3 linked regions of the Cricetulus griseus genome follow. The protein of the gene in region 2 purifies or fractionates together with the protein of the main gene of each other region. This does not show direct contact. Links are inferred from orthologs where the notes say so. Each region holds a gene or a part of one and is shown on either strand. Other genes may lie near its edges.

The links.
Region 1: the proteins of Wwp1 (region 2) and Spart purify together in Homo sapiens (affinity purification with mass spectrometry; 5 studies listed by BioGRID and IntAct, counting the BioPlex papers as one, with this or other methods). This does not show direct contact. The link is inferred for Cricetulus griseus from reciprocal best matches to the Homo sapiens genes WWP1 and SPART.
Region 3: the proteins of Wwp1 (region 2) and Smad7 purify together in Homo sapiens (affinity purification with western blotting; 3 studies listed by BioGRID, with this or other methods). This does not show direct contact. The link is inferred for Cricetulus griseus from reciprocal best matches to the Homo sapiens genes WWP1 and SMAD7.

Annotation. Positions count from the first base shown.
Region 1 is NW_023276806.1:96,034,029-96,037,685, forward strand, and holds part of Spart (spartin), read right to left. Parts: intron 3,304-3,657; coding exon 3,127-3,303; intron 1,614-3,126; coding exon 1,490-1,613; intron 1-1,489. UniProt on the Homo sapiens protein: Lipophagy receptor that plays an important role in lipid droplet (LD) turnover in motor neurons.
Region 2 is NC_048595.1:132,927,874-132,931,530, reverse strand, and holds part of Wwp1 (NEDD4-like E3 ubiquitin-protein ligase WWP1), read left to right. Parts: intron 1-186; coding exon 187-361; intron 362-1,805; coding exon 1,806-1,860; intron 1,861-1,947; coding exon 1,948-2,032; intron 2,033-2,145; coding exon 2,146-2,274; intron 2,275-3,440; coding exon 3,441-3,516; intron 3,517-3,615; coding exon 3,616-3,657. UniProt on the Homo sapiens protein: E3 ubiquitin-protein ligase which accepts ubiquitin from an E2 ubiquitin-conjugating enzyme in the form of a thioester and then directly transfers the ubiquitin to targeted substrates.
Region 3 is NC_048595.1:164,538,735-164,541,538, forward strand, and holds the end of Smad7 (mothers against decapentaplegic homolog 7), read right to left. Parts: intron 2,681-2,804; coding exon 2,142-2,680; 3' UTR 628-2,141; downstream 1-627. UniProt on the Homo sapiens protein: Antagonist of signaling by TGF-beta (transforming growth factor) type 1 receptor superfamily members; has been shown to inhibit TGF-beta (Transforming growth factor) and activin signaling by associating with their receptors thus preventing SMAD2 access.

The DNA.
Region 1 (3,657 bases), on a different chromosome or scaffold from region 2:
CATTGCTCTAAGGGCAGCCAGACCTGGATACTGAAGGCCTTGTCACCAAGCACGATACAGACACACAGGGTGAACCCAGAGACACCATAACCAATGGTAAACACGGTGTTTCATGGCAGTGCCTTAGATCCTTTATACACCTGTGTGGTGATAAATATTCACTATTTATAGTCACAGCTGCATAGGTTGCCCTCAGTATTGCTGACATGACAGATAGAAAACAATGAACAATTGCTGAGTGAATGAAAGGTTGGTGGTAACTTTGACTTATCTGGACCAAAGCTAACCACTACAGTTTCTGGACTATTATTCACTTTTACTGACATAAGAAAAATCAGTCATTTGTACTTGTACTAAAATAGAAAACTCAAATCATGGCTTCCCCCTCTGGCAAAGGGAACTGAGACCTGAGGGAAAACACATCTGACACCCTGATATGTTTTCAATTATTTTATCATAGATACTTTTAGAATACTGATGTTACTATATTTGGGCTTTGATATTCAATAACTAGATAAAGGGAAGTGATGGCACATGAGGGGTTACTGAGTCTCCAGTCACATGTCATGTGTTTCCTCACGTTTTATGTGCCCCTCCCCCCCAGTCTGTAAGTGGCCAATGTTAGTATCCCATCATCCTGAAGCCCATCAAATTATTAGATGTGTGAATGCAGTACAGTTCTCTGTGACCTGAAAGCTGCATGAGGTCCAGGTACTGCTGGGAGGTACTGTGGACCTAACTGGTGAGACCTTAAGTCAAGCCTTATTACCTCAAAGGACAGTATGGGACCTCAGCCCCTGCTGCTGCTGCTGCTCCCCAGATTCTCATCTACTCCTGTCTGGCAGTCTTATCAGAGGCCCAAAGCAACAGAGGAACCCACCCCTGGACTGCCACCTCCTAAACCATGAAACAACCTCTGGCATTCTGCTGCAGCAGCAGAAAGCTATCACACTTCTAAAGACTAACCAACTGTTTTTCATTCTCTTGAAAGGCATTTTAGACTTTGCTGCTGTAACAAACCCTGCAAAACTGTGGTTGATAAGCAGCAGAGATTGGCTTTTTGTGGCCTGAGACTTGAAAGTCCAAGCAGGGATGCTGGAGAGGCAACCCTGAGGACACTGGAAGCAAGGCAGACTCCCAGGTCTATTCACTCACAAAGGCTCCTCCCTCACAGCCCAGGCACTGCTCAAAGACCCCACTATTTTGTGACTTTGAGGGTTGGCACTTCAACATGGGGATCTTAGAGGACACAAACCCCAGAACATGGTACTGAGGGAAGGGGAGAAAGGATGAGCACTCAAGAGACAGGACTATGATTTATGCTCACATCCCTTTGATAGCTGAGGGATCCTGCAATAACACACTTACACAGAAATGGCGACCTTCTCAGAAGCCCTGCCCATCTGTCAGTATTTTTATTAGTTACTTAACATACACACATCTATAAGCAGCACTTTTACTGGTTCAAGGTGTGACAGCCCTGTGATACCTGACAGAATGTTGTGGGCCACTTTCTCGCTCCATTCGGGGAGTTCTTTCGATTTTTCTTCTGAACTTGGCTCACAGGGCACAATCTGACTCAAATTAACTTCTTCACTTGAAGAGTCTTTAGTCTAAACAGTAAAAATGTTTCAAAATGTAAAGGTTAGTGAAATGCAAAGGAAACTGAAAGCATTATATACTAAACTGCCAACAAATACTAGCTGAGGTTATTGAAAACATCCAACTTGCTAAAGAGAGAAAACCAGAATTGTCACAAAACTGAAAAGGGTCTGGTTTTAAACAAGCTCCTACTGATGTGATGTAAGTAGAACTGTAACTCCAACACAGCATCTACTAAATAATATTCAAGCTAGCCTGTGTCTTCTCTCACTGGTTTATGACCTGTGTCACATGGATATCACTCCTCAAACTTGCATGTATATAGTACGATAAGCTTAAAAGATTAAATGACTCAGCCAATAAAGAAGGATGTACCCAAGTAAATTGGTTTTGATAGAAGAAAAAGTTCAATTTGAAACCTGAATATCTAGATACACAATGACCTGCCATTCCACTTAACTGGGAACACCAGCACTGCATAGACAACTGCAAAGATTCTGGCCAACACCCAAACTCACAGCCAAGGGCACCATTCTAAGAACCCTCAAACAGGATAACCATAGACCTCAAAGTGTCATAAAATAACTTGAAAAAAGAAACAAAGGTTTTCTGTGCCCAACAGATTACAAAGGACTTGACTTACAATGAACAAATAAATGGAAGATTGTGAAATTTATACACATACACAAACACAAACAAAACAAAATCCCCCCAAACAAACCAACACTTCTTTATTGGAGAAGAGCTACCTGCCAGTAAAATGCAAAGAAAATCTGTATCACTAGGGCCAATGTCTCCAATATATAAATCTCTTGAAGACAGAGAAGAAAAAGATTAATGACCTAAGAGTAAAAATGGGTGGAGAGGAATAGATACAGAGTACCCAACATCATCCAAAACAAAGTGAATGTAAACCACAATATTCTAAAATACAATTTCTTGACTATCACATTGCCAAGACGTAAAAAAACAAAGCAGTGACCACCCATTCTCACCCAGGCCACGAGGAATGAGTATGCAGTTCCCCTGTCTGCATGGGATCCAGTGGATGCCTGAAGTCACAGGCAGTGCTCAGTTCTGCAAATATTAGGAAATACTAGAACTAAGTTTTTCCATGCATGTGATATATAGTGTATATGATAAATTAGAAATTATCAACAAGGAATAGTAGGTAGAATAATTAAGACAATGTTTTACAAGAGCAAAAGCAGAATGAGTTTTCTTCTTCACAATTTCACAGACAATCCACTTTTCAATTATTTATTGTTTATTTGGGGAAGGAGTGCAAATCCAGAGCAAGCTCTCAGCCAACCAACAGAGGGAATATTAAAAAAAAAAAAAAGTATGTGGTCCTTAGGGTAAAAATAAAAATCTTTTGAAAAATTGAATTAGAGTCCGTCTCAAACACAAGGTGAGCACAAATGTTTGGCAACCATGTTTGGGGTTGTGACCAGTTTGTGACATGCTGTTGTGGGGTGTGGCCATCAGATTGTGGACACACTTGCCACTACCTCTTTAACTTGCCTTTTTCCCACGCTTTCCTTTACGCCGTGCATCCTTACTGCCTTGGTCTATTGAAGAACCTGAAGAACCCGCCTGCCTGACATAGGTGCCAGAAGCTTCCTTCGGTGACTCAGAGGGGTGTCTTGCTCTCCCGGGGATCTGGAATTCATCTTCTCCTTCTGCTCTATTCCAGTTTGCCTGGAGCATAAAGGACTAGGCTTAGCTCAGCTGGCCTTTACAGGACATTCCTCCAGGTACATTGCACCATGTGCTCATAACACACACGTTCAAATACCAATGTCTGACTGTGTAGGTGACTACTGTTGCTGTTTTCCTTAGTGTGTATACACATTGTGTGTGATTATCCATGTGTGTATCCATGGGTGCTCATTCCATGAAGCACATGTGACAATCACAGAACAGTCTTGGATGTTGGTCCTCACCTTCAAACCACTGTTGTTTTGAGAGGTCTCTTGGATGCTATTTGGCCAGGAATATCTTGGATTCCTGGAGATCTTGCTGCCTCTGCCCTGCTAGCTTGACAGGGCTGTG
Region 2 (3,657 bases):
AAGAAGCGAGGAGAAAGTCTGTCTGTGATAGAATAGGAATTTAGCAAAGATAAATGCCTGGAGGAGGCGTGTGTATGGTGTCCCCTACACATCCCTAGCAATGCCAATAGATAAAGTAAAAATATGTATGTTTTAATTTAACAGGAAATGACTCATTGCTTCATTTTTATTGCTTATTTGTGGTAGATGGGAAAGAAGAGTTGATGATCGTGGAAGAGTTTATTATGTGGATCATAACACCAGAACAACCACATGGCAGCGGCCTACCATGGAATCTGTTCGAAATTTTGAACAGTGGCAATCTCAGCGGAATCAATTGCAGGGAGCTATGCAACAATTCAACCAACGATACCTCTATTCGGTAATTAGCAATTTACAAGGTGTTAGAGGTGTTAATGTTACTTTTCCCTTACTTTGGTGGCTTTCTAAAATATGTAGAGTACATTCAATAGTTTGTTTGCTTCATTTTATTTTTGGCTAATCTTTAATATTACTTCTGGTTTGTCTAAATAAATAAGCATTCTTGAAATTTTTCTGTCTTTGGAATATTTTAGATTTTAGATTAGGATGTTCATCCTGTATATAGTACATTTGTTTTGTTCTGTGTAGGACTTCGTGTGCATTAAAGTTTGTAAACAGGACAAAATTAGGTATTGGGTATGTATCAAAATACTTTCTACTAAGTAGCACAGTCCTCTTAAATGGATGCAAATTAAGCTACTTCAATAGAATACCAGGGCTGGAACAAGAAAGAATCATTCTCTGGCTTACAGTGCCATCAAGCAGCTGAGTTCTGCCTTTTAGAGTATCATCTATTTCAGTGCATCTTGCCTGCTCTATTATCATGCCTCTTGCCTACACTAGCTATTGTTATGCACTTTATCTGCACCGTCTGTTGTCATGCAGCTTACCTACACCATCTATTGTCACCAACTGAACCAGCACCATCTCCTCATGCATTTTACTAGTACCATCTTTTACCATGCAGATTTCCTTTACCATCTATTGTCATGCACATTACCTTCACCATCTCTACCGGCTGTTGCCATGCATCTTTCCTGCACCCTCTATTGCCATGCATTTTGCCTGCTATTTTGAACATAAAGAGCTTCTACCCTTGGCCTGATTTCCAGAGTCTCTGCCATGAAAGGAAAGGGTAAACTGAAAGGGGAGAGGTTTCCTGTAGCAGGGCCCTTGTACTTAGCAAGCCCCTGCCTATTTGCTTAGCAGTTTAGCAAAGGAAACCCTCCTGCTTCTGCCTCATTGGCTAGAATTGGTCACTTTACTAATCCAGATTCAGTGGACTATTCCTTATGGGCACATTGTTACCTCAAACAAAGCTAGTGATTACATTATCAAGAAAGATAAGATAAAAATGGATATTTAGTGCTGTCTGGTGGCAGTCCTATCAAATATTCATCAAGATGTATACATATTACCATTGAATAATTATTTTGCAGAATAATTATACTATAATGATTTACCTATTTTTGAGCAAATAATATTGTCTCCTTTAAATGGCATAATCTCTATCTCTAATTACCCATCTCCTCTTACTCCTTAAAAAGGACTAGGAAATTAGCTTTTTGATTTTACTACACTATTTTTAAATGATTTACTAATAATTATATCAGCTGGTGGCTGCTCTTCATAATATTTTTGAACATTGTTTCTTGAAATTGTTGTATTCATATTCCTTTATAACATTTTTTAAAAATTCTAAGATATGATTGTTAATTGCTTAGTATATTAGTATACTTCTGGCTAAAACTGCTATCTTATATTGCAACCTCTTTTTCAACCAGGCTTCAATGTTAGCTGCAGAAAATGATCCATATGGACCTTTACCACCAGGATGGGGTAAGCTGATATGGTATTTATAAAAATATGTATAAGGTATATAGGTATCAAATTGTTATTGAATGTTATTCATACTTTATGTTTTAGAAAAAAGAGTGGATTCAACAGACAGAGTTTACTTTGTGAATCATAATACAAAAACAACCCAATGGGAAGACCCCAGAACTCAAGGGTATGTGTATAGTAAAGTCTTAAGTTATTACACATGAGAAGATGGATGGAGTCAGTGGGCTATAAGTACCTGAAACATACCCACCATATGATTGTGATTTTTTTGTCTTACAGCTTACCAAATGAAGAACCCCTGCCAGAAGGCTGGGAAATCAGGTATACTCGGGAAGGTGTTAGGTACTTTGTTGATCATAACACAAGAACAACAACATTCAAAGATCCTCGCAATGGGAAGTCATCTGTGTAAGTGGAAACCCAAACTTCAAAAATATTATGTAGTGAATACAGGAGGTCTAGTCTCTAATGCAGCTTCAAATTTAGAAACAAGCCATGTTCAAGAAAACATGCACAAGTAATATCTACCTATAACTGGTTTTGCTCTATATAATTCCAGAATGGATTTGTGGTATGGCATTTCTTTATTTAATAATATATATTTTGTATATAATAACATTAGCATATATGTGTGTGACAACTACTATATGCCAAAGATTGTTCTAACCATTTTAGACATGTTAGCTCATTTTTATCTTCCCATGACCTTTGAGAGAGAGATTATATTATTATTTTCTTGTTTGTTTTTTTTCTTTTAACAAGGCCCCTTTAAGAAGTTATTAGCCATTTATTTCCTTAAAACACACAATATGTAGTTTACTTTTCATTTTTATCTATTTCCTTCAATGGTACATTATATACAAAACAGCCACTCTTTCCCCATGTTTCTAGGGAGTAATGCTTTCATTGTCTAGAGAATGCCAGGTCCCTGTTAAGTATTTGATAAATTTTCTTGGGTGAATGAACTTCCATGACTGTGACAGCAGAAGACAGCATTTTGTGTTCACTCTACCATGAAAGTTCCTGAATTTCCGTGTATTTTTTGTTAAGACTCTCTCGGCAGGAGAAGCAGGTCTCATTCTCAGCTGACTCTTGTGTCTGCCTCTTTTCTCATTGTCCAGCTTGCTCCAAGAATTACTTATGCTTTGCTTTGTTTTTGTTCAGATCAGGTTTAAGATGAGGTCTAGGTTTTTTTTTTTTTCCTCCTGTTCCTCTTATCTAGAATCCTTGACTTCTTCAGCTTTAAGAATTATCAGAATTCTGCTTATAGTTTATCACACAAAAACAATAGTACAAAAAAAAAAAAAAAAGAATTATCCAACGTTCTTTTTAAGTAGTCTGTAGTAGACTTTAGGCCTTCTATAAACTAAGGGCTTCTCAATAGACCTGTTCCTACTTGGAGTCTCTCTCGTGCATATGTTCTGCTGATGGGACAATCTTCATGACTCAAGCCTCTATTGTCCTAATGAATACACCATTTATCGACTGTAAATAGCTTTCTTTAGTCATACTACAATCTGACGCACACTGTTTCATAATTATATTACAGTGTTATTTGTTATGCTTCTTTTTAGAACTAAAGGTGGTCCACAGATTGCTTACGAACGCAGCTTCAGGTGGAAGCTTGCTCACTTCCGTTACTTGTGCCAGGTACTACAGTGGTAAATAAATCTCATTTATAATAATTTAGTCTGATAGTTATGGAATACATATGCTGTGGCTTACATGCTGTGATATTTTTGTTTTTAGTCTAATGCACTACCCAGTCATGTAAAGATCAATGTGTCCCGA
Region 3 (2,804 bases), about 32 Mb from region 2:
ATATGTTGAATATAATCTAAAATATGGACAAAAATCTCAGCTCAGCTTATGCAGGTAAAGTACTTACGAGGCATCTCACAGCAACAGCCCAGGGATGAGTTGGACCACAGGGCTGAGAACCTATCAATCATGAAGATCCTAGCAGACAGCCTTAAGTGAAGCTTGGATTCAGTCATCACTTGAGAGGGAAGGAGGTGGGGACTTCATCCCTCTGATCACTGTGGGGCAGTTATTCTCTATCACTTCCTGGGGCTCCAATCCCCAGGAAATGTCTTGGAATTCATTTTGGCAAAGTCCCTTCTACTGAGAAAGATGCTCTAGCTCAGTGTAGAATTAGCATGAGCCAAGGGAACCTGGTTCTTGAGGATGTACCTGCTCTTCTGCCACCAACCCCATCTTCCCAGTGACACACCCTTTCTCCTCAACCCACCAACTTCCAAACACTCAGCAGAGGACTCCCTCCCGTCATTTCCCAATGCACCATGAGGAAACCTGCAGCCACACCAAACAAAAGGGTACCCATAAGGCAGGTGGTCTCCAGATCCCAGGCCCATTCGCCGTTGTCTCCACTGGTAAACTTCCCAGCCTCCCTCCAAGGAAAAGAAAAAGCAGCTAAACAACATGGGATGAAGTATACATTTTAAAAATTGTTTAATGGAACATAAACTCCTTTAGAAAAACATTCAGCCAGGTGATAACACCCATAGAAAAGAACACCAATCTTGTGTTTATCTTTTTTAATTTGGCATGTTATTTGCATTTATATTAAAGCAAAGTGCATCTTTTCTTTATTTTTGTTTATACACATTGCACAATACATAAATAATGATGCTTATAAAACGTCTTTATATTTACAAGTAATAATATATTTATATATAACATAAAATACATTTTTCTTTAATAAATCTCAGCTTTTTTTAAGGAGTCCTTTCTCTCTCAAAGCACTACAATGCTAAATTTCCAATGAGAAGGCTTCTCTTGTTCATTTAAACCTTTGTAGTTAGAAAAATAGCTTATGTTAAAGTCTAAACATGCTCATTGAGCTAAGAACAGTGTCAAAGTATCATACGAGTGTATGAGTTGAGAGAAGAGCTGGGAGTCAGCCTAGGATGGTACCTTCGCTATGACAGGCCACACCCTTCTTGTTGGGAAGGGGGCCACTGAGCAGTTCCCTCCCAGGGATGCCCCTCCCTGGTCTATAGAGCTCAACATACAGGCTGGGGATGGGGTGCTGAGCTGACTCTCCACATCTGGGAGAAACCTGATGAAAAACCACAGCAGGGGGACCGGCTGAAGGGCCCGAGGGTCCTGGGTTAGCAATACTGTGACTGGGCTGTCCCTGCAGCCCTTAGGAAGCCCATCTCAAGAAAGAGATCCAGGAGCAGATGGCCAAAAAAGACAGACATGACAATGGCAGCGGGGTGACAGGAGGCAGTAAGACAGGGATGAAAACAATTGGTTCTGGTTCAGCCTCTAGCAGGCTGGCTTCTCAGAAGCCTGTGGATAGGCCCGTGTCCTAAAAGGGGGGAGGCAGGGCAGGGGCTTCGGCAGGCTGGGGCAAAGTTTGGCAGCTGCTGGAACACCTGCTGCCAGTCTGCCCAGGTACTGCCTCTGCCCCACTGAGCATGTCCAAAGGGCTCGAGAGACAAACAGCTTGAAACTGCAGACTCTCAGCTGGGGACATTCATAAGGAACACAAAAAGCATCTCCCCATCTGCCGTTCATGCACAACCCTACACGACCGAACATCCACTCCTGACAATGCCGATCCGAAGGGAAGGCAGTACCCACTTTCATATACCATATTTGGCAGTGCTGACTTTTGCTTCCCATTTTCATGTCGGGGTGTCCTGTCGACCACACCCACCACCTCAAAAAAATAAAAAAATAAAAAAAACCAAAACAAACTAATTCATCACAAGCTATTTCTCAAAGAACAAGACAAAACACAAACAAGGACAACGAGAAGGAAAAACAAAAATAAAACAAAAACAAAAAACAACACCAACAATGGTAACAACGAAACCGACCAAAGAGTTTGCATGAAAAGCAAGCACTCGGGAGGGAAAGGTTAGCAGCAAGTAGTTTGAATGGTGGCCTGCTCGGCTCACGCTCCGTCCTGTCCTCTTCTCCCCACACAACTACCGGCTGTTGAAGATGACCTCCAGCCAGCACGGGCAGCTGCTGATGAACTGGCGGGTGTAGCACTGGCCCCAGCCCTTCACGAAGCTAATCTGCACGGTGAAGCCCGTCCATGGCTGCTGCATGAACTCATGGTCATTGGGCCGCTGCAGGCTGTATGCTTTCTCATAGTCGAAAGCCTTGATGGAGAAACCAGGGAACACCTTATGCACCAACAGCGTCCTGGAGTCCGGGTTGTCCAGTGTGGCGGACTTGATGAAGATGGGGTAACTGCTACGGTTGTACACCCACACGCCATCCACTTCCCTCGTCAGCTGGATGCCACAGCCAATCTTACTCCGTACTTTCTGTACCAGCTGACTCTTGTTGTCCGAATTGAGCTGTCCGAGGCAAAAGCCATTCCCCTGAGGTAGATCATAGAAGATATCCAGGGAGGGCTCTTGGACACAGTAGAGCCTCCCCACTCTCGTCTTCTCCTCCCAGTATGCCACCACGCACCAGTGTGACCGATCCCCAGGTTCCAGAAGAAGTTGGGAATCTACAAAACAAAATGGCAGACAGTTGGCGGTGGTGACCAGGTTCTTTTCCCTCCTGAAATCAAAAGACATACATATACACTTGCTCTTGAGTCCCCATAGCCAGCACAAAACAAAAAGAGGGAG